Linked DNA regions of Caenorhabditis elegans. The protein of the gene in region 2 purifies or fractionates together with the protein of the main gene of each other region. This does not show direct contact. Each region holds a gene or a part of one and is shown on either strand. Other genes may lie near its edges.

Region 1 (7,338 bases), on a different chromosome or scaffold from region 2:
TAGAAATCTCGGAGAAACTTAAGCCATGTCTTCTATTTTCAGGGGAATGGGAATGGGCGTGTCGAAACGGAGAATGCATAGCACATTATGACGTTTGTGACGGGATTACGCAGTGCACCGACGGGTCCGACGAGTGGAATTGCGAAGCGAGGTTAGGTTGCAAACACGCTCCAATGAGAAATTGCTCCACGTGGTGCCATTATGGTTTGATCTACAAAAAATGCGGGATTTTTTTGGCCAAAAATATGTGACGTCAGCACGTTCTGAACCATGGGAAATCAGTTGAGAACTCTGCCGCATTTTTTGTAGATCAGCGTAGATCAAGCCGCAATGAGACACTCTGACACCACGTGCGGCTTGTAAAAATCAATAAATAGTCATTGCTGTGCGGTACATTTTTTCACGCTTGTTACGAAATAAAATTTATATTTTATATAGCATTTTGACGACATTTTCCTTATCAGTAAAATTATCAAATTTTCCACCCAATTCCTTGGCTCGTTTTTCCTCCAGTTTCCACTTCCTGTTGAAAAAAAAATCCAAAAAAAATCGATAAAATGGCGGATTCGCTTCTCTCGAATATTCTTCAACAGGAGATCACCGATTTTCCGGAGTTATTCGATATGGGGTTTGTGTACACAAATATGTAGAGTCTATTGCGCTCTATAAAAAATCAATAAAATCGATATTCCAGGGGCGGAGCGCCGATGGCTCGTGAGGGAGTTGCTCAACCACGACAGACAAATGTGCAGGCCACCGTAGCGGCGGTGAAGGAGACAACGACGATAACCGCTGAATCTTCAGGTATTATTGATTTTTCTTATTTCGAAGACTATATTACGCGAACGCGTATTGCACAACATATTTGACGCGCAAAATATCTCGTAGCGAAAACTACAGTAATTCTTTGAATGACTACTGTAGGTCGATTTACGGGATCTCGATTGTCGAAATGAATATATTTTCGAATAGCCACAGCGACATTCAATTTAAATTTTTAATTAATTTCAACAAATCAAGCGGCCGTAAATCAACAGAAGCGCTACAGTAGTCATAGTTTTCGCTACGAGATATTTTGCGCGTCAAATATGTTGTGCAATACGCATTCTCAGAATTTTGTGTTCCCTGTAATACTACGCCATACGAGCAAGATTCTGTTGAACTAGGACACACTGCATCTCACGCGCAAACTAATCCCAAACCTCAAAAAAACACTATATTTCACGCGCAATTGTTGCAAACTTTCAAATTGAAAGCCACCATATTACACCATATCTTACGCGCAAATTTAATTAAACTATGTAAAACCACGTGGCGCACCAGAGTGTCTCATTTCGGCTTGATCTACGTAGATCTACAAAAAATGCGGGAGAAGAGACGCAGAGTTCTTAACCGATTTCGCACAAAAATTCCCGCATTTTTTGTAGATCAAACCGTAATAGGACAGCCTGGCACCACGTGTGAAACAACATATCTTTTTTGAAAATTTTGCAGTAAATCTCATGGTATGCGCCAAAAATTAGCCAAACTTCGCAACACACCGAATTTTACGCGCATATTCATCAAAAACCTTTTTTTTTTAATTTTCAGGCACCGTCACAATCCAATACTCGCACATTTTCTTCGCCTTTGTCGCGTTTTTCGTTCTCTCGGTTGCCGTAGTCGCTGTGATTCGTCGGCGATCACGACAAAAATCCGGATTTCGAAATCGACGTGGCGGCGGGCACGGGGGCCCGAGCATACTGCAACAGGATTCCGACGAAGACGATATTCTAATCAGTTCTATGTATTCTTGAATTTCGTTTTTTTTTTGGCACGTGGGGTGCCAGGCTGTCCCATTACGGTTTGATCTACAAAAAATGCGGGAATTTTTTGCCCAGAAAAATGTGAGAACTCTGCGTCTCTTCTCCCGCATTTTTTGTAGATCAGCGTAGATCAAGCCGCAATGAGACACTCTGCTAACACCACGTGTTTTGGCTGTACTACTTTTCTCTCTTTTCTCACTTTTATCTCGGGTTGTGTCATTGAATTATGAAGAAAAAAATAAATCAAATACATAAAAATTAATGGCGATTCAAATTCTATAGAGCTCCGGTTTCCTTGAGCAGTGCGGCGAGTTTTCCGTTCTTGGCTCCGGCCGCTGTGTCGTCACCGCCGCCGAAGAACTTGCCGTTGATGAAGACACGTGGCACCGAGCGGGCTCCGGTTAGAGAGCCAAGATAATCCTGAATCTCATTGCAATCCTTGCGCTCGTCGATTTCGATCCATTGCAGAGCGTCGGGCTTCACGTTGACCGATTCAAGAGCAGCACGAGCCTGAAAAATTGGGGTTTTTTAATTTTTCTCAAAAAATTATTTTAAAAAATGTATCCGAGACTCAAAAATTTTGCAAAAAAAAGATTTTGAAAATGGATAATATTTTTCTCAATTTTCACGGATTTCTGGCTTCCCTCATAAATTGAAATGGAAGAGTTTTTGCCGAACTAGGCCATTTGGCTCGGCCATATCTGGGGTAGATTTACGGCGCGTTGCGTGTCGCGTCGCGGCTCGATTTCAGTTGTAAAACTAAATGTATTTGTCCGTGTGGAGTACACGACACTTTCCCACGCGTTGTCCGGCAGCCGATTGTCAATGGAGCGCGAAAAATTCAATGAGGAATGCCAGAACCCCGTGACAGATTTTTTCGCAAATTATTGATTTTTGCCGTTGTCTTCAATTTTCCGAAAATTTCTCAAAAAAAATCGCTACGAGACCCAAAATTTCTGCATTTTCAGAAAAATACAGAAATGTTTGATTTTTAAGTTAAATTGAATTTGCAAAATTTCATACTGGTGCAACTGCGCTCTGTTGCACACGATTTTTTAAAATAATTTTTTTTGGAATAAATTTTTCAAAAAAATTGGGAAATTTCGCTGAAAATCCAGAAAAAAGCAAATTTTTTAGGACAAAATTGTTCAGAAAAATTTTTTTTTTTTTTTGATGACAAAAAGCAATTTTCGAGGAAAATTCAAATTTTTCAGAAAAATTGTGTTACCTTATGGCAGTACGGGCAGTACGATTTGCTGAATACGACAACTTTGGAAGATTGGAGAAGTCCGTCGACAAAGGCTTTTGACATGGTTTTTCTGAAATTTTTTGGTGTTTTTTCTCAAATTTTTGTTGAAAAAAAAAGGCAATGAAGTATAAGAAAAGCGTAGAGACAATTTGAATTTGAAAAAAATTGGGGAAAAAAAAATTAGAAATCACATTATCATCAAATAAATAATATATATATATATATATTAAATTTACAAAAACAAAATTCTGCGATATTATATAAAAAGGGAAAACATAGGCTTTAAAAGCAGCAAAAACTGAAGAAAATGATGATAAAAATGAGAGTGGAAATAGTGTATGGAAATGAGAGAGTGGCGAGAGAAAAAGAGAAACGGCGGCGACAATGACGTAAGAATCATGACAAATAGTGTTATTAGGCGAGGAAAATTCGGGAAAAAATACAGTTGTGAAATACAGAAATTTATAAAAAAAATTTTAAAGAAATTTCGAAATTACCGCCGTGCGGTGGAGCACAAATGCATTTTTGATATTCGATTAAAAAAAAATTTTTTTTTAATTTTTGGGCTTTCTAAAGCTAAATGATTTTTTTTAACTTTAAGGAGTTTTTAAAAAATTTAAAAAAAGGCCTTGCAAATGCGCTTCATCGCAAATTTGATGGTAGAGATGAAAAATTGGAGAATTTGAAATTTTCACGTGGTGTCAGAATGCCTCATTTCGATTTGATCTACTTTGATCTACAAAAAATGCGCGGGGACTGATTTCGCATGGTTAAGAAAGCGCTGACGTCACAACATTTTTGGGCGAAAAACTCCCGCATTTTTTGTAGATCAAACCGTCGATGGGACAGCCCCTGGCACCACGTGAATTTTGGGAAAAAAAATTTTTAAAAGGTTTTTTTAAACGCTTTTTATTTTAGACAAATCACTTTTTTTTAATTTGAAAATTAGTTTTTTTGCACCAAAAAAATTTCAAAAATCGGAAAATTTTGAATTTTTGGGATCACTTTTACTTAAAAAAAAACTCGTTAATTCGGAAAATTTTACGATTTTTCTGAAAAAACTCTGCAAATGCGCTCCATCGCGAATTTGCTGGTAGAGATGAAAAATTGGAGAATTTGAATTTTTGGCGGTACTTTTTGCCGAGTTTTTGAGAGAATTCATCAACTTTTCACGAAAAATTGATATTTTTAACGCTTTTTCTGATGAAAATTGCAAAAAAAACCTTTAAAAATTGGGCTAATAACACTTTTTTCAATTAGAAAATTAAAATTTTTGGGATAATTTTTTCCTTTAAAAATCCCATTAATTTGGAAAATGTTACGCTTTTTATGAAAAAAAAATTCAAAAAAAAAATTCTGCAAATGCGCTCCACTGCAAATTTGTCAACCATGTGAAATTTTAATTTTTAGGATAATTTTAGGATAAATTTAGGCTAATTTTAAAGTCGAAAATCCAAAAAAAAAAAAAAAATCAATAAATTATTCCTTCTTCTTCATCTCATCATCTCCACTATTTCTTCCAGTGATCCCTTTCAAAGTACTCATAATTTTTTTGAAAATGCCACGTGGCTTCTCCTCCTCTTTCGCCTCGAATGGCACAATGCCGACGGAAAACGCTTCGAGCGATGGTACAGTATCCTCAATCCACGTACCCGTGACGTCACGGCGGGAGAAGATCGGGGTGCCGATGAATTCCGAAATTGATTCTCCCTGTGGAAAAATATTGTTATTTTTTGGAAATATATCAATTTTTGAAATATATCGACTTTTGAATCAGGTGGGTGGGCGGAAAACGATTTTTTCCGGCAAATCGGAAAATTGCCGGAATTGTAAATTTCCCGCAAATCGGCAAACTGGGAATTTGCCGGTATTCAACAAAATTCCGGCAATCGATTTTCTTATCCGTTTTTTTTTTTTGGAAAAATATGTTTTCTGAAAAGAAAAAATCGATAATCTGGAATTACATATATTGAAAAATATTGATTTCACCGGAAAAAAAATTTGGAAAAATTTTGGAAAGAAAAAATCGATTTTTGGACAAAAAACCTTGAAAAAAAAATTGGAAATCGATATTCTGGAGATATATATTTTTGGGAGAGAAATCGATGAAAATTTCAATTTTTTGGAAGAATATTGATTTTTAGAAAAAAAAAATTTTTTTACTGAAAAAAATGATTTTTTTTTTGAAAAATGCCGTTTTTTGAGAATATAGAATTCTTGGATTTTTTTTTTGATTTTTAGAAAAAATACCTTTTTTTCTGGAATAAAATTTAGATTTTATTTTGGAAAAATATAGCATTCTAGAGAAAAATATCAATTTTTTATTGAGAAAATTCAATTTTTTCTGGAAAAAAGTATAGACTTATAGAGAAAAATGTGTATTTTATTTTATTTTCAGGACATTTTTTTTTTTTGGAAAAAAATCGATAATCTATAAAGAATATCGATTTTCTGGAAAATATTTATTTTTGGTTAAAGGATAAAGATTTTTAGAAACGTTTTTTTTTTCAAAAAATAAAAATGAACTTGGAAAAAAGTTCATTTTTATTTTATTTTTAATATTTACTTTTCGAAAAAAACTTAAATAGTTTGGAAAATATTTATTTTTGGTTTAAAAAAAAAGTTTTTTTGAAAAATATCGAATTTTTTCAAAAAAAAATTGGTAAAAGTTGAAAGGATTTTGGAATTTTGGAAAAAAAACAGGTTTTTAAAAAAAATATCGATTTTTTTAAAATTTATATTTTTGGAAACCTTTTTTTTTACAAAAATCGATTGGAAAAAAATTTTTAGACAAAATAATTTAATATTTGCAAAATGAAAAGAATATCGATTTATTTTGAAAAAAGTATTGAATTTAGAAAAATATGGATTTTTTTTTTTGGAAAAATCGATTTTCTGGAAATTTTTTTACTGAAAAAAAAACTGGAAATATATAGATTTTTCGGAAAGTTATCGAATTTTTTTGGAAAAATAGATTTTCTTGAGAAAAAATTTTTTTTTGGAAAAATCAATATTCTGGAAAAAATGGTAAATGGCAAAATGATTGATTTTTGGTAAAAAATCGGTTTTTTTTTCTTTCAAAATTACCATTCTCCCAACGGGCTCCGGGGTCCCAGGCTTCTCCTCGACTGCCGCCGCCGCCGCTGCCACCTCCGATATGGTTTGATCTACAGTAACCTCCTTCTCCACCTTCTCTGCACTATCTCGTTGTTGTTGCTCCTCCTCCTCTTTCTGCTGTTCTCGGATCTTCCGAAGTTCGGATCGCTGGTGACGTTCCTCACGAATTCGGATTTTCTCGGTGCCCTCGTGATCTCTGGCAACTTCCTGGAATGACATTTTTTTTTAAGTGACATTTTTTTGAATTTCAGAAAAAAAAGTGTTTTTTTCAAATTTTTTCCAAAGCAAATGATTTTAGAGAAAAATCTATGAAAATTGGAGTGAAAATTAGACAGAAAATTGCAAAAACCAAAAAAATCAGAAATCTTTTGGATTTTGAACCTTTTTTTTGTGATTTTTAGCTTTAAAAAAAGTAGAAAAATCGGCAAAAATTTGTTTTAAAAAAATATTTTTTCAAGTTTTTATTTGAAAAACGTAAACTGAAAATTATAGCCAAATTATTGATATATTTTATTAAAGGTGGACTAGCGCCAGTGGGGAAATTGCTTTAAAACATGCCTATGGTACCACAATGACCGAATATCATGATAAAAAAATTCAAAAAAATTTTCTAAATTTTATATGATTTTTTGAAAATTGAAAAAATCCCAGTTTTTGCCTAATTCCTATTTGAATTTCCGCCAATTGGATTTGTTCGATGGAGCGCGCTTGCACGTTTTTAAATTTATCTATTTTATTTTTTGTTATTTTCTACCGATTTTTAAGGTTTTCGGTGTATTTTTGCTTGAATTTTAGAGAAAAAGTCAAAATAAATGCAAATTTTCGATTAAAAAGCACGCTTACAGGCGTAAAAATGAAAAAGTACCGATTTTAAACGATTTCGAATCTGAATTAATTAATTTCACTGATTTACGCCTGTAATCGTGTTTTTCAATCGAAAATTTGCATTTATTTTCACTTTTTCTTTAAAATTAGAGCAAAAATACACCGAAAACATTAAAAATCGGTGGAAAATAACAAAAAATAAAATAAAAAAATTTAAAAACGTGCAAGCGCGCTCCATCGAACAAATCCAATTGGCGGAAATTCAAATAGGAATTAGGCAAAAACTGAGATTTTTTCAATTTTTAAAAAATCATATAAAATTTAGAAAATTTTTTTGAATTT
Region 2 (8,739 bases):
GGAAAACCATGGCAACGCCAGGGGATCGCCACAAAAATGCTCTCCAGGAACATGTCGGCTGCTAGGCTTCACAACGTAGATGGAATCGTATCTGCCACGTCATCATTCGCCAATCAGACTCTGTTGGCAAAAAATGGGTTCCAGTGTTTGAAGGAATTTCCATATTCGGGAATTGTGAGCAGTAACGGGGACAAACTGGTGGAGACTGATGATGGATCCCATGGAATGCGGATCAACTTCAAGAGAATCGAAAAATCGGGAAATGGACCCTGTGAAATGGAACCCCCAAAATCTGCTACTTTCCAGAATGTGGCAACTTCAGTTTCGTCCTGAAAATTTCTCATTCTCTTATTCCCTTTTTCTTACTTTCTATTTTTTGTAGACCCTTCCAATTCGATCGCCCTACTGATAACATCCAGTAAATTGGGAATTGGTTAAAAAAACGACTCGACGTTGAAACGAACCATTCAAAAAAGTGATAACGGTGGCATGTGACAGAATTGGGGATTTTTTTTGGGAAAAAAATGTCTGCCAGAAAGATAAGAGGGACGTGGAACAAAGGTTGAGACTGTACAATATTTGACTTTTAATTTTCTGCAAATAACTATTGTGTTATTCAGAATCTAGAACCCGGAATGTTCACGAATTTATTATAAAACTGAAAGCACAAGACAAATAGTTCAAAAACACCTGTATGCCATAGTCCCTTGTGGTTTTTTGGAAATTTTCACTAAAACTTTCAATTTTCCAGGTTTTAGAGAAAAAAATTACGAAGTACCTCCAAATCATAAATAGTGAAATCTCAGTGTTTACCTACTTTCTCCTTTATTTTCAAAGTCGACCGGAAAAAAACTTTTTTTTGGCTTGAAAATGTTAGAATTTGAATTTCAGAATTTTCCGGCAAATCGGAAAATTGCCGGAATTGAAAATTTCCGACAAATTGCCGAGTTGCCGAATTTGCCAGAAACACTGTGATTGCCGAAAATTTTTCGGCAAATTGTGATTTGGCACTTTTTTGGAAATTTCAGAATTTCATTTTTAATCAGCAAAGTTGTACGCATCCTATCAATGTTCATATATCTATTTTGAAAAGTAAGTAAATTCTATGAAAATATCTAAAGAAAACAGCAAAAAATTTCAAAAAGGCACAGTGTTTTCGTCTTATAAAAATCCCTTAAACTTCCGACAAATTCGGCAAATTGGCAAATTGCCGGAATTGAAATTTCCGGCAATTGCCATCTGACCCCTGAGTTCTATATTGTTTTGGTGAACAAACTCAGAGATCACCTTATAAAACAAAAAGTTATCACCTGTCTCTCCAAAACTCTGCAAAAAAATTGGTTTTTGAAACAGTGATCGTCCACAAATACTATACCAATGTGCACTTCATATCAACTAATGTCTGGTTCTTAATCTCTGTGAGTGGCAGTTTGAATATTTTTTTGTTGAATTGTAAGAGCATGGCCAAACTGGCAAAAAGTCGAAAATAATCAAACATTGATCTCAGGTCAAAAATTAAAGTTTCTTGATTGACACGTTAAAGTTTAGACAGGAAGTTCAAAAATTACAGCGCTTTGTTCAAATTTTGGAAACAACAATATCCTAGAACTTAGTATTAAATTAACATTATTAAATTAATATTAACTGGTGAGATTTTTCTGATCCTTGATATTTCCGATTACCTGTGACTGATCTCTGATTGGAATTGAAAATTATTTTCTTCTTCGACTCTGATGATTTCAGACCTATTTACGCAAAAAACATCAGTCGCGAAACATTATTGTGTTCATTGTTAAAAAAGAAAAAAAAATCAAAGACTATTCAGACGCCATAAAAATAAAAACCGTGGGAATTTTTTTAGAGTTTGAAAAAACATTTTTATACTTTTTCAGAGCTAGTTTTCAGTGACAAATGCAATTTCAAGTTATTTAGTTTCACACTATCATAGCAATGATGGTAATTCATTTACAGTAAAGTTAGAACACCCTTCATTAACAGTTGTAGCTCGACAGTTTTGAATTTTGTTTTGTTTTTCAATTTAAATTATTATTTAAAAAGATAAGCAACGCCACAGAAATATTGACGTCGGCTTGTCGTTTTTTAAATTTAGTTTAAAAATTTTAAATGTATGTCCTTGTCTAGTCCTGATTTGGTAACATTTTTCGTAAATTTCAAAATTGTCGATTCAAAATTTTTTTTTCTGCTCTCAAATTTCCCAGTTATCACCACCGTCCTACCACTTGCAGAATATGGGCGGAGCATAATTTCCTTGCCAATTTTTGTTCTCTAGAAATGTGATGGAACACGTGGACACTATCGACATGAGTACAAAAGTCACTGTAAATTTTTTGAAATTTCAGAAAAAATATGCCAGAAGAACTTATCTACCGTCTGGCGAAGAAGTCAGATGCGCCTGATGTTTTGAATTTTCTACTGGAGCACTATTTCCCGCTGGAGCCGTGTACCAGGGTGAGTTACAGTAACCCATCCAGATTATTTTTATTTTTTATTTGAACCAAGTGGGTCCCGCCACGATGGCCTAACATGTACAGATAAGGCCAGCGCAGTATTTCTACAGTAACACATCGGCAAATTGCCAGAATTGAGAATTTCTGGCAAATCGACAAATTGCCGGAATTGAAAATTCCCGGAAAATCGGAAATTGCCGGAATTGAAAAATTCAGGCAAATCGGAAAATTGCCGGAATTGAAAAGTTCCGGCAAATCGGCAATTTACCGGTATTGAAAATATCCGGCAAATCGGCGATTTGCGGGAATTGAAAATTTTCGGCAAATTGGCGATTTGCCGAAATTGAAAATTTTCGGCAAATCGGCGAATTGCTGGAATTGAAAAATTCCAGGAAATCGGCAAATTGTCGGATATTAAAATTTCCGGCAAATCGGCAAATTGCCCGAATTGAAATATACGGCAAATCGGCAAATTGCCGGAATTGAAATTTCCGGCAAATCGACAAATTGCCGGAATTCAAAATTTCTGGCAAATCGACAAATTGCCGGAATTCAAAATTTCTGGCAAATCGAAAAATTGCCGGAATTCAAAATTTCCGACAAAACGGCAAACCGACAATTTTTCAATTACCGAATTTGCCAAACTTGAACTAGGCCTAATTTTATTTCATCTCCAGGCCCTAAAACTAATCAAATCTGAAGCGGAGGTACTCTACGAATCGCTGGTGGCGAGATGCCTCCAATTCCCATTCTCAACAGTAGTCACTACACAGAGCGGAGAAATTGTGGCTTGCCTGGTGAATTCTGCCTGGAAACGAGATGATAATGCTGTGGAGGGTGCTGATTATGAAGTTGATGAAGGGTTGACAGAGAATATGACTGCTTTTAGTACGTTTCTTTTAATTGAAGTACAGCAAAATCCACCAAAATTTGATAATCTTTCAGTCAAAATGCTCAACACATGCCACGAAGATTTCTGGAATCTAGCTCCCCAAAACATAAATGTAGTGCTCCACCGTGAAGTCTCAAGTGTATCGGAAAAGTATCAGCGACGTGGAATCGCTACGAAAATGCTCACAACCAATATGCCAAAAGCCAAACTTGACGAATATTCAATTGATGGTGTGCTCTCTGAAACGTGTTCCTTCGGAAATCAGGTTCTTCTGGAAAAACATGGCTTCAAGTGTCTCAAGACGATACCCTACACCGGCATTGTGGATTCTCAAGGAAATCAGATTTTGAAAACGGATGACGGATCCACGGAGTTGAAGCTTAACTTCAAGCTTATCGGCGATTTTGAAATTTTGGATTAATTTGTGTTTTTATTTTTTTCAAGTTAGGGCAGGCCCTCACTTAATAAAATTGTGTTTCAGTAAATTTGTTCTTCTTATGCGTATTTAAACCTCAAATAATAATATTAATAGTAAAATATATTAAATTTCAATTTCCCGCTGCGGTGGCCGAGTCCCTGCCGGCCGCCGGCCTAGGTTTCGCACACTTCTCGGCCATTTTTTCTATTTTATTTTTTTCGTTTTTTCGTTTTTCCACCAAATATTTTACGTTTTCCAGTGTATTTTTCAAGTTTTAAAGTTACTTTTGCTTAGAAAAAATTATATTTTCAGAAATGAGTCGCGGTGGATTCAGGAGTTATGGGTATAATTCTTCTTCTGGTGGAGGTTATGAAGGAGGCTATGGAGGAGGCTATGGCGGAGGCTACGGCGGATACAGCCAAAAACGAAATTACAATGATTGTGAGGAGGATGGGGAGCAAAAATACGCTGAAACAGAGCAATTTGAGCACAGAAATCGTAAGAACTCCCTGATTTTAATTTTAAAAAATCAATTTTTAAAATAATTTCGTGTTTTTTCAGCAAACCGCGAGCCTCTCCAAAAACGTGCGAGGCCAGAAGCCACTGAAGGTGAAAAATCAGCGATTCGGAAGCGTTTCGAGCAGGCAAAGCTGAAAGAGTGGCGTCTTATCATCAGAAACCTTCCATTCAAGACAAAAAAGGAGGATCTGCAGAATTTATGCTCAAATATCGGAAAATTCGTGGAAATCGTGCTTCCACCGTCGAGAAAGGACCCAAAAACTTGCGCAGGCTTCGGCTTCATCCAGTTTGTCGAGAAGGCCGACGCGGAGAAGGGCCGCGAGTTTTTCAACACGAATAAGGTGCTCGGCAGGTCGGTGGCTGCGGATTGGGCGCTGGATAAGGACACTTACGAGACGAATGCTCATGAGGAGAAGCAGCATTTGAAGAAAGTGGTGAAAGTGGAGAAGGACGAGAAGCCGGAGGAGAAGAGCAAGAAATTCGATGAGGAAGAGGGTGAGGAGGAATCCGAAGGTTCGGAGGATGGATCAGAAGCTTTCGAAGCTTCCGAAGCTTCCGAAGACGACGAGGATGACGAAGAACCAGCTAAGAAACCAAAAAATCCAAAAGCCCAGCTCAAAACCGACGAATCTATCACAGAGGGGAAGGTGGTGTTCCTGAGAAATCTGTCCTACGACACCAAGGAAGAGCTCATCAAGGAAGAGCTCTCCAAGTTCGGAAAAATCGATCTCGCCATCATTTGCAAGTACAAGGACAGTGGCCACTCCAAGGGAACCGCATTCGTCCATTTTTCCACACCAATTGAGGCTTCCAACTGTATTGAGGGTGTCGAAGACGGTGTTATTATTGATAATAGGCTTGTGAAGGCGAATCTGGCGATTCCGAGGAAAGAGGCGGCTGATATGGAGAAGGAGAAGCTCACCAAGGTGCCAAAAGACAAGAGAAATTTGAGATTGGCCAGATTTGGACTGATTCGTGATGGAACTGCGGCGGCGGCCGGGATGAGTAAGGATGATGCGGCGAAGAGGGAGAGAATTGCTGAGGCGATGAGGAAGAAGCTCGAGAACACGAATATGTGAGGGTTTCCTGAAGAAAAATCGGATTTTCAGCCATTTTTTCACAAAAAAAAACGGCGAAGTTCTGTAAAAATCCCGTTTTTCGGTCATTTTTCCCGAATTTTCAGCCATTTTTTCACAAAAAAACGGCGAAATTCTGTGAAAATCCCATTTTTCGGTCACGTTTACTTGATTTTCAGCCATTATTCACATTTAAAAAAAAACCGTGAAATTATGTGAAAATTAAATTTATCCGTTGAAATTTCGAAAAAATCTCGTCCCTCGGTTATTTTTTTCCGGATTTTCAGCCATTTTTTCACAAAAAAACGACGAAGGTACGAAAAAATCTCGTTTTGCGGTTATTTTTCCCGGATTTTCAGCCATTTTTTCATTAAAAAACGATAAAATTTCGAAAAAAAATTCCGTTTCTCGGCCATTTTTTCTCTAATTTTCCGCTATTTTTTTCACTATAAAACGGTTAATTTCGAAAAAAATCCCATTTTTTCCGGATTTTCAGGCATTTTTTCACTAAAAAACGGCAAAATTTCAAAAAAATTCCAAAAAAATATCGGTCATTTTTTCACTAAAAAACTATGAAATTTCGAAAAAAATTCCGTTTTTCACCCATTTTTTCTCTAATTTTCCGCTATTTTTTCACTATAAAACGATTAATTTCGAAAAAAATCCTATTTTTTTCTGGATTTTCAGCCATTTTTTCACAAAAAAAACGGCGAAATTCTGTGAAAATCCCGTTTTTCGGTCATTTTTACTTGATTTTCAGCCATTTTTCACATTAAAAAAAACGGTGAAATTATGTGAAAATTAAATTTATCCGTTGAAATTTCGAAAAAATCTCGTCCCTCGGTTATTTTTTTCCGGATTTTCAGCCATTTTTTCATTAAAAAACGATAAAATTTCGAAAAAAATTCCGTTTCTCGGCCATTTTTTCTCTAATTTTCCGCTATTTTTTCACTATAAAATGATTAATTTCGAAAAAAATCCCATTTTTTCCGGATTTTCAGGCATTTTTTCACCAAAAAACGGCGAAATTTCAAAAAAAATCCCGGTTATCGGTCATTTTTTCCACTGATTTTCAGCCATTTTAGTATAAAAAATCGGCAAAAATCTGTGGAAATCCCGTTTCTTGGCCATTTTTTCCGGATTTTCAGTCATTTTTTCCATTAAAAATCGGCGGAATTCTGTGAGAAACCAATTTATCGGTCATTTTTTCTCAGATTTTCTGCCATTTTTTTCACTAAAAAACAATGAAAATTCGAAAAAATCCTGGTTATCGGTCATTTTTCCCTGATTTTCAGTAATTTTTTCACTAAAAAACGGCGAAATCTCGAAAAAATCCCGTGTCTCGGCCATTTTTCCCTGATTTTCAGCAATTTTTCACAAAAAAAAAACGGTAAAATTTCGAAAAAATCCCGTTTTTCGGTCATTTTTCCTTGATTTTCAGTCATTTTTTCAATGAAAACAATGAAATTTTGAAAAAAAAACCGTTTCTCTGTCATTTTTCCGGGATTTTCTGCCATTTTTTTCACTAAAAAACTATGAAATTTCGAAAAAATCTCGTTTTGTGGTCATGTTTCCCGGATTTTCAGCTATTTTTTTTCACCAAAAAACGGTGAAATTCTGTGAAAATCCAGTTTGTTGGTCATTTTTCTCGGATTTTCAGCCATTTTTGCCCTGAAAAAATATGAAATTTCGAAAAAATCCCGTTTCTCGGTCATTTTCCCGGATTTTTAGCCATTTTTCACTAAAAAACAGCGAAGAATTGGCTTTTTTTAAAATTGAAACAGGGAAATTTTGTAGAAAAAAAGGAATTTATCTCTTCAAATTTGAATAAAATCCAGTTTTTAGCTATTTTTCGCTCAAAATGCGCATTTTTCACGTCAAAAATTGGAATTTTTCGCTAAAATGTTCATTTTTACCCTCAAAAAGTTGAGAAAAATCTCATTTTCTCTGAAATTGCAAGAAATTTACAAAGATTAGTGATTTTTACTCTTGCAAATCGAAAAATTCCGACCAAAAATATAGTTTTCTTATTGAGCAAAATTTGAAAAATTGCTAAAAATCACTAAATATTCGATATTTTCGCTAATTTTGGCCAAAAAATTGGCTAAGTTACAAAAAATCCCAGAAAAAATGAATTCTCACCAGTCTTCAGTAGGAAGTCGGATAAAAATTGGGAGTTTCGTTTGTAAATTCAATTTTTTCCAAAAAAAAAAAAAATTAAAAATTCTCGTTTTAAAACTCAATTTATCTGCAAAATTGACCAAAAATATAGTTTCCATTCCAAAATGTTTTTAAAAATTATTTTGAAGAAAAAAATTGGAAAAATCCCATAAAAAGTCAATTTTTCACCAGTTTTTTTTCAATTTCTACTGAAAATTTCAGTTTTCCCCAATTTTTCCGCAAAAACCTCTAAAAATTCCAGGTTCATCTCGCCAGTCCGTCTTTGCATTCACAATCTCCCCCAGAAAATCAACGACGTGAAGCTCAAAGAACTGGCTCAAAAATTCACGTCACCAGGAGCTCTGATCACCGAATGTCGTGTCTGGATGGACAAGAAGCGTCTGACACCTGATGGAAAGCCCAAATCTTCGGGATTCGGATTTGTGGCATTTAAAGAGCACATGCACGCGTTGGAATGTCTCAAAAAGCTCAATAATAATGCGGAGACGTTCCACAAGGATCATCGTCCGATTGTCGAATTTTCTGTGGAGAATTTGCTCGCCTTGCAGGCCAGAGTACGTGAAAAAAATAATTTTAATATCCAAGATTTTCACTAAAATTAGCTTAAAATTTGTCAATTTTGCCAAAAAAAAAATTGATTTTTCTCACAAAAAAAAACACCAAACTTCTGAAAAAGAAATCTTTTTTTTTGAATATAAATTTCAAAAAAATCCCGGTTATCGGTCATTTTTTCACAGATTTTCAGCCATTTTAGTATTAAAAAATCGGCAAAAAATCTGTGGAAATCCCGTTTCTTGGTCATTTTTTCCGGATTTTCAGTCATTTTTTCATTAAAAATCGGCGGAATTCTGTGAAAAACCAATTTATCGGTCATTTTTTCTCAGATTTTCTGCCATTTTTTTCACTAAAAAACAATGAAAATTTGAAAAAATCCCGGTTATCGGTCATTTTTCCCTGATTTTCAGCAATTTTTTTCACCAAAAAACGGCGAAATTATTTGAAAATCCCGTTTTTCGATAATTTTTCCCAGACTGCCAGCCATTTTTTCACTAAAAACGGCGAAATCTCGAAAAAATCCCGTGTCTCGGCCATTTTTCCCTGATTTTCAGCAATTTTTCACAAAATTTTTCACAAATTTTGGCCAAAAAATTGGCTAAGTTTTAAAAATCGGAAAAAAATATAAAA
Region 3 (6,849 bases), on a different chromosome or scaffold from region 2:
TCTCCTTTGTCCCAAATTTGGTCCAGCTCTAACTTTTTTTCTCTTTCCCTGGTTTTCCCATGTTTCCCTTCCATTTTGCACTATGTATTACGCTTTTCATTAATTTTCATTTTCAGATTATGGCTTCTTCCTTGCGTACTGATCCAGCCTTCCTTCGCACATGTGTTCTCTACGAGGTGTTCAAGCTGAACACATTTTCTCAGGGATTCGCTAACTTCTGCAGCACGTTCGGAAACGACATCATGCATAATCGGGAATTCGAGTTCTGGCACAGACGTTTTTACGACGGAAATCACGATTTGGGTCTTGAGATCAGCTCACAAAATGCCATTGACCACGAGCTCGAACGTGCAAAGAATGGGCAAATCCTGAGATCGGATCCGTCACGTTCTGAGAAGAAAGCAAAGCACTTGGAGGTTTAAAAAATTTCAAATTTCTCGATTAACTCCTTTACTTTTCAGTTCATTACTTCTCCTCTGTGCAAAGATCCGGAATTCGTTCGTTCTTGCGTCCTCTACGAAGTTTTCAGTCTGAAAGACTCTACCCAAGGATACAAAGATTTCTGCGATGCTCTCGGAAACGAGTCTATGGGCGTCAGAGAGTTCGACTTCTGGTGGAATCGATTCTACAATGGTGATCATGATTTGTGTCTCGATATGACTGCCGCAGTCACTTTGGGAAGGCAAATATATAATAAGCTTCATCAAAATAAATTGTTAGTTTTGTAGCTCCGGACAAGACGATGGCTTCACAAATGATGGAGAGGCTGAAGAGACTTCGCAGCTTCAACGTGTTTCTGGAGATTCTGTGGAATGGTAGGGTTCTGGGGTTGAATGCCCTAATAATTGAGAATTTCCAGAAATACTTGCAAATTTATGATGATTACGGTGATTTTTCGGATGAGGAGGAGCACGTGCTGAAGATGTGCAAATTCGGAGAGCCTGCTATCAGAGAGTTCATTGTCGCGAACTTTTCGGCTGAAGAGATCGTCGATTTCAGATCTCAAGTATGTTTTCAAAAAGCCTTCTCACAATAAATGTTCCAATTTTCAGCTTCACGATAATCTGGAAGAATACGAAGAGAAGAACAAGCCATCTCTCATCAAAAAGCTCGTCGGAAAGATAAAAGGGATCGGCGCTCGGAGAGATGATGACTCGGATTCCGAAGAGGATTCGGAAGAGAGCTCCGACGAGGACTAAAATCATTCTTGTGTACAACCCAAACCTACTAACCCGCACATTATTTTCTGAAATAGCTTGCCACAATTGTAAATAAATATTAGCGCCTGTAATACTCTTGTAACTGGAAGAAAGTTCATTTAAGAAAATATCAAAAATTAGAACAACTTCTTGAATGGATTTCCTTGTTGCCCGCCGAGTTTGCTCTGAAAATGGAGAGACTACTGGAGCTTTATTAAAAAGGTATTCAACTAACCAAGTTCTCAATCTTCGCCTGAAGCTCGACGATTTTCTTCTGCAAGTTGTCCAAATCACCACGAGACTCCTTCAATTTCTCCAAATTCTCCGACTTTTGCTCATCCGAAACTTCCGGATTGTTGACCTGCTGCTCATACAACTGTTTGGCCGATTCATAACCAGACTTGCTCGATTCATAGATCTTCTTAATGTTCTCCAATCGAAGTTTTTCATTATTAAGAATCTCGGGAAACATTTCTAGGAATCTGACAAGTGAGAATAACCAAAAGAATGTGAAGAGCTGGCAACAATGCCTACATTTTATGCTCGAAATCTGAATATTTGCACAATTTACAGCTTTTCCTCTAACAATTCCATTTTATGTGTTTACTCTTCACGAGTCAACAGAGTTCGAACGGTTGTCTGAAATTCAGGATAGAATGCGCAGAGATTGGAACAAAATGACGGAAATCGACGCTTTCAATCGCTTCTACAATGTTACAGTTCTCTCCAAGCTGTTGAGAACAATTCACGAAGGCTTCCTCGAGTACGACCCATGTAACTGAACAACTATATTCTTTTCGAGCAATTTATTGATGATCAAGATGAAAAAGTGAAGCAATAAACAGGGTTGGATGGGGTGATTGAAAAGAAGAAAAGTTCTCACGGAGAACAAATTTAGAGCTGTCCGCAGTCGGCGATGAGGCACTCGGACTTTGGAGTTCCGGAGCTGCTTCCGTTGCCCTCGACCTTGCTGACGATGTCCAATCCTTCGACGACACGTCCGAAAACGACGTGCTTTCCGTCGAGCCAGGCAGTCTTGACGGTGCAGAGGAAGAATTGAGATCCGTTGGTGTTTGGTCCAGCGTTAGCCTGAAGAAAAACAATGAAACTTATCAGCCAGTGGATAACAGTTAAGAAACTAGATAATGCTTCTTTTCTATCAGTTTATGCTGTCTTTCAATCTGGCTAGGCAACATAACTTACCATGGAAAGGACTCCTGGTCCGGTGTGCTTCTCCTTGAAGTTCTCGTCTGGGAACTTCTCTCCGTAGATGGATTCTCCTCCAGTTCCGTTCCCGCGGGTGAAGTCTCCTCCCTGGATCATGAATTCTGGGATGATACGATGGAACTTGGATCCCTTGAAGTGGAGTGGCTTTCCGGACTTTCCGACTCCCTTCTCACCAGTGCAAAGAGCACGGAAGTTCTCAGCGGTTTTTGGAACAATATCGTTGTAGAGCTGAAAATAAGATTTAATTTCATGAAAAAAGATCAGTGTTTTGTTTACCTCCATAACGATACGTCCGGTTGGTTTTCCGGCGATGGTGATGTCGAAGAAGACTCTTGGGCGGCTCATTTTCAGGTAGGGTAATCACTAAAATGCTTGAGTTATAGTTGAGAAATATGTATGAGATAGGTATATCTACAGAGGTGCGGCAAACACGCTCTGCGGTAATAGAGCGGGAATCAATCAAAGTTAAAAATATAAACAAAGCACCATAAGATACAAGGAAGAAGCACACGGATGAGCTATATACTGAAATGGAGTGAATTAGCGCACTAAAACAGAAAATTTTAGGCCCAACTAAATTAATTTTCCTGTTGGGCCTAAAATCTGCCGAAAGACGTGATTCAACAAGGATTAAACGACAGTTGCACATCAAAAAAGTTCTTAAATAATTTTCAATTGATTTTAATTCATTTTAATAAGCGAAACTATAAAAATTCTGACAAAATCAACAAATTAGGCGACGAAAGAGAGAAGAAATGAGCCGTTCGCTTCTAGAATTTTCCGACGTAAACAACAAAGTCCGCAAAAGTGTCTGCGTACCCGACACCCAATCATACGACATGCGCCATATCTGACGACACTTTCGCTGTGTTTCCCGCCTTTTGTCAACACTTTCACCGTGCGCCTGTGTTTTCAAATGATCGTACACAAAACAACAGAACGGCGCCGAAATTGATAACAATTTTTGTAGGCAATAAAAGATTACATTGAAAAACCGGTCATTGATATCAGTTCGATCATCACCACGGTCTTCACGAAAAGAAGGAGAAATATCGAGATGATTTAACATTGAGAAACATTGAGAACATTTTAAATTGCTAAATAGATCACAAATTAATCCAACAGTTTTTCATTTTGTTGAATGCTTTCGAGATCGATTGAGCTAAATATGAAGCTCTGCATGTGACGGGTATCTGCGAAGCGGTTCGTCAAGATTAGCTTTGCTTATCCGCTAAAAAATAATCTTTTCGTACAAGGACAAAATAAAATCTGCACAAAATACATCGTGATGTGCTAAAAATGGTTAATGTGAAAGTCCTAGAAATAGACCAATAAACTTTATAAATTTTGACTGGTCTCGAAGCCATTTAGTGTACTGTAGGTGAGAGCATTGCTCAGCTTAAATTGTTTGTTTCAAATTCTTCTTCATTGTTCAAATTAAATTTATCACAAGATAAAATGTCTGGAAAAGACAATAAAGGATCAATTCGTTTTGAGATTCAAAATTTTTCTGGCTTGGCGAAGGCGACGGAGCACAAACCAGTGCAAATTGGACACGTAGAATGGTTAGTGAATTTTAATGAAACAAAAAATGTTCTAAATTATTTAAAATATTATCTTTTAAGGATTCTTGGAGCATTCACAAGCACTTCCGACGCTACGAACAATGCTAAACATCTCGGAATTCACCTGAAATGCAACGAGGAACTGCGCAGCAACTTGTGGTCCTGCGATGCGTCAATTCGTTTTTCACTTCTGAGACTCAATTCAAACGAGGATGATGACGCGTTTTCGATGGAGTTTCAGCAAAAGTTCGACGACTTGAACAAGATTGTGGTGGTCAACAATTTTAAAAATTGGGAGGAAGCCATCTGCTACGATAATCGATTTGTGCTCGATAAGCATGCCGTTCTTGAAGTCCAAATTACTGTCAACAAGATTGCCGGAATTCATGAGAGGATTATCGAGACTTTCGATCAACCCAAGGAACATCTTACCGATGTTGTGCTGGTGCTTGAAGGAAAACATGTCCATGTTGGCAAGCAAGTGCTCGCAACGAGCTCGCAATTCTTCCAAAAAATGTTCTATTCGAATTTCGCCGAAAAGACACAGGCTGAGATCAAAATCGATGATGTGACCCACTCTGAGTTTATCGATTTGCTCAATGTGATCTACCCCACTCACATGCTCATTAATAGTAAGTTCTTTTTTTTATTTGAGGCTTGGAATTATTAACGGATTTTCAGGTTCCAACGTGTCTCACTTGCTCAAGCTGAGCGATAGATTCGCGGTGCCAAGAGTTCTGGAAAAGGCTGAAACGTTTTTGATTTTGGACCAAAAGACCCACTTGATCGACAAGCTGAAGTTCGCCGAAGTCTACAGACTCTCAAGGCTTCAAAATGCATGCCTTTCGCAATTGGAGACCAGCGAAGATGTTACTGCGTTGAAGCATCACGAAAATTATAAATCTCTCGATCATATAACCTACAATGCGTTGCTTCAGAAGCTCATTGATCTTTTGGAAGATTAGCTCCAAGCTTTGTTGAATTTGTTGTTGATAAATTCTGTTGTTGATTTCAGTTTTCAAAACTGCAGATTATTTTTTGTTAAGGAGAAGGTAAAAATACCGCGAAGAACTGTTAATTTTTGATTGGTTAAAAAACTCAAATTTAAACTACCACCAAAAAGAAGAATGTAAGCACGCTCTGCTGATGAAAGAAAACCTTATTCAAACTTCGCGGTCTCACAAATTATCAACGGAGCGAACATTCTGACCCCGCCCACAAATCGAAATTTCTCTGCCGCTCTCCATTTCGGTCCCATTTTTTGAATTTTCATGCGAATTCACTGTTTTTTATTCAGATTTTTTATCGATTTTCGTTTAAATTATGTAATTTTTATGATTTTTCAGTAATTTCCCTATTCTTGCCTCAACAATGAGCCGCTCAAAGGTCTTTTTCGACATCACCATCGGTGGTAAGGCTTCCGGACGTATCGTCATGGAGGTTTGTGAAATTTTGGCTATTTTCATCTTCAATAAATAAATTTTTTACAGCTTTACGATGACGTTGTCCCAAAGACCGCCGGTAATTTCCGCGCTCTCTGCACCGGAGAAAATGGAATCGGAAAGTCTGGAAAGCCACTCCACTTCAAGGGATCCAAGTTTCATCGCATCATCCCGAACTTCATGATCCAGGGAGGAGACTTCACCCGCGGAAACGGAACTGGAGGAGAATCCATCTACGGAGAGAAGTTCCCAGACGAGAACTTCAAGGAGAAGCACACCGGACCAGGAGTCCTCTCCATGGTAAGCAAATCGTCAGCTGAATCTGTTTGAAGTTCGAGAAAATGTTTTTTTCTGCTCAATTTGGGAAAAATATCACTGTTTGTTCTCCGAAAAGAGGGAAAACTGAAGATTTCTAAATGTTGCTTTTCCGGAAATTGTCGTATCTGTGAGAGACGCAGACATATCTCACAGCACGTTGTGTGTAGGATGGAGTGCTGAGCCGTTGTTAGGAGAAATTGAATGATTTATGAGAAAGAGCAGCTGAATGTATCAGTCTCAAAAAATATCAGAATTTTTGTCTGTCTCGAAAGTAATATTTTCAACATTTCAGGCTAATGCTGGACCAAACACCAACGGATCTCAATTCTTCCTCTGCACCGTCAAGACCGAGTGGCTCGACGGAAAGCACGTCGTTTTCGGACGTGTCGTCGAAGGATTGGACGTCGTGAAGGCTGTCGAATCCAACGGATCCCAATCCGGAAAGCCAGTCAAGGACTGCATGATCGCTGACTGTGGACAACTCAAGGCATAAATTAATTGCACCCGAAATCTCCTTCATCTCTTGATTATATATTTTCAGTATTCAACTAATCCATATTTTTCTCATAAACCTCAGTTATCCCCGATTGTTCCTTTGAAGAAACCCAGGTCTCATTGAGAAAAAAAAAAGAAATCAGCTCAGACGTTGCGCATATTTCCATCTTCTGGCGAAAGGCGCGACGTTGGGTCCCGCCTTTTCAGGCGACATCACAATCCGATCGCCTCGGCCACTGCACAAGTCATCGATCACCGCTGAGGAGTTGAACCCGCGTCTGTTGTTTGAAGACGGCGCGCTTTACCACTGAACCACTCGGTCGCGAATAGTAGTGCGCCGTTGTGTACCTATAAAAGTGTGCGTAGGCAAGCAGAGAGGAATAATGAAGCGGAGAGTTTCAGAACCGGATTTCAGCTTTATCTAATACTTGAATCTACATGCAACATCCATTCAGATTTTAATTCAATCTTTAATGAATCGCATCTACTATTTATTGTCGCTTTTAATTTTTCTAAACACTATAAACTCTCTTTATCAATGGGGTAATTTTTAAAAGATTAAATTTTTTTGAATTGACATTAAAAATTTCTCAGAAAATCGGA

Evidence for each region.
Region 1: the proteins of rbm-28 (region 2) and glrx-10 fractionate together in Caenorhabditis elegans (co-fractionation; one large-scale study listed by BioGRID). This does not show direct contact.
Region 3: the proteins of rbm-28 (region 2) and cyn-7 fractionate together in Caenorhabditis elegans (co-fractionation; one large-scale study listed by BioGRID). This does not show direct contact.

Annotation. Positions count from the first base shown.
Region 1 is NC_003279.8:1,045,382-1,052,719, reverse strand, and holds glrx-10 (Glutaredoxin-1), read right to left. Parts: upstream 3,125-7,338; 5' UTR 3,118-3,124; coding exon 3,034-3,117; intron 2,316-3,033; coding exon 2,082-2,315; 3' UTR 1,993-2,081; downstream 1-1,992. Other genes in the region: Y34D9A.8 (Low-density lipoprotein receptor domain class A), read left to right, coding at 43-151, 695-804, 1,591-1,796; Y34D9A.7 (PSP proline-rich domain-containing protein), read right to left, coding at 4,534-4,764, 6,142-6,378.
Region 2 is NC_003280.10:14,853,169-14,861,907, forward strand, and holds the start of rbm-28 (RRM domain-containing protein), read left to right. Parts: upstream 1-4,090; 5' UTR 4,091-4,092; coding exon 4,093-4,276; intron 4,277-4,339; coding exon 4,340-5,372; intron 5,373-7,795; coding exon 7,796-8,108; intron 8,109-8,739. Other genes in the region: R05H10.1 (aralkylamine N-acetyltransferase), read left to right, coding at 1-333; R05H10.7 (aralkylamine N-acetyltransferase), read left to right, coding at 2,368-2,469, 3,146-3,356, 3,414-3,781.
Region 3 is NC_003283.11:15,184,590-15,191,438, forward strand, and holds cyn-7 (Peptidyl-prolyl cis-trans isomerase 7), read right to left. Parts: upstream 2,790-6,849; 5' UTR 2,772-2,789; coding exon 2,703-2,771; intron 2,655-2,702; coding exon 2,403-2,654; intron 2,289-2,402; coding exon 2,094-2,288; 3' UTR 1,993-2,093; downstream 1-1,992. Other genes in the region: Y75B12B.1 (Mos1 transposase HTH domain-containing protein), read left to right, coding at 120-416, 462-682, 729-819; Y75B12B.3 (Transposase), read right to left, coding at 1,337-1,384, 1,435-1,671; bath-36 (BTB and MATH domain-containing protein 36), read left to right, coding at 3,885-3,991, 4,052-4,623, 4,673-4,956; cyn-3 (Peptidyl-prolyl cis-trans isomerase 3), read left to right, coding at 5,363-5,431, 5,482-5,733, 6,044-6,244; Y75B12B.11 (DUF7808 domain-containing protein), read left to right, coding at 6,720-6,789, 6,841-6,849. UniProt on the Caenorhabditis elegans protein: PPIases accelerate the folding of proteins. It catalyzes the cis-trans isomerization of proline imidic peptide bonds in oligopeptides.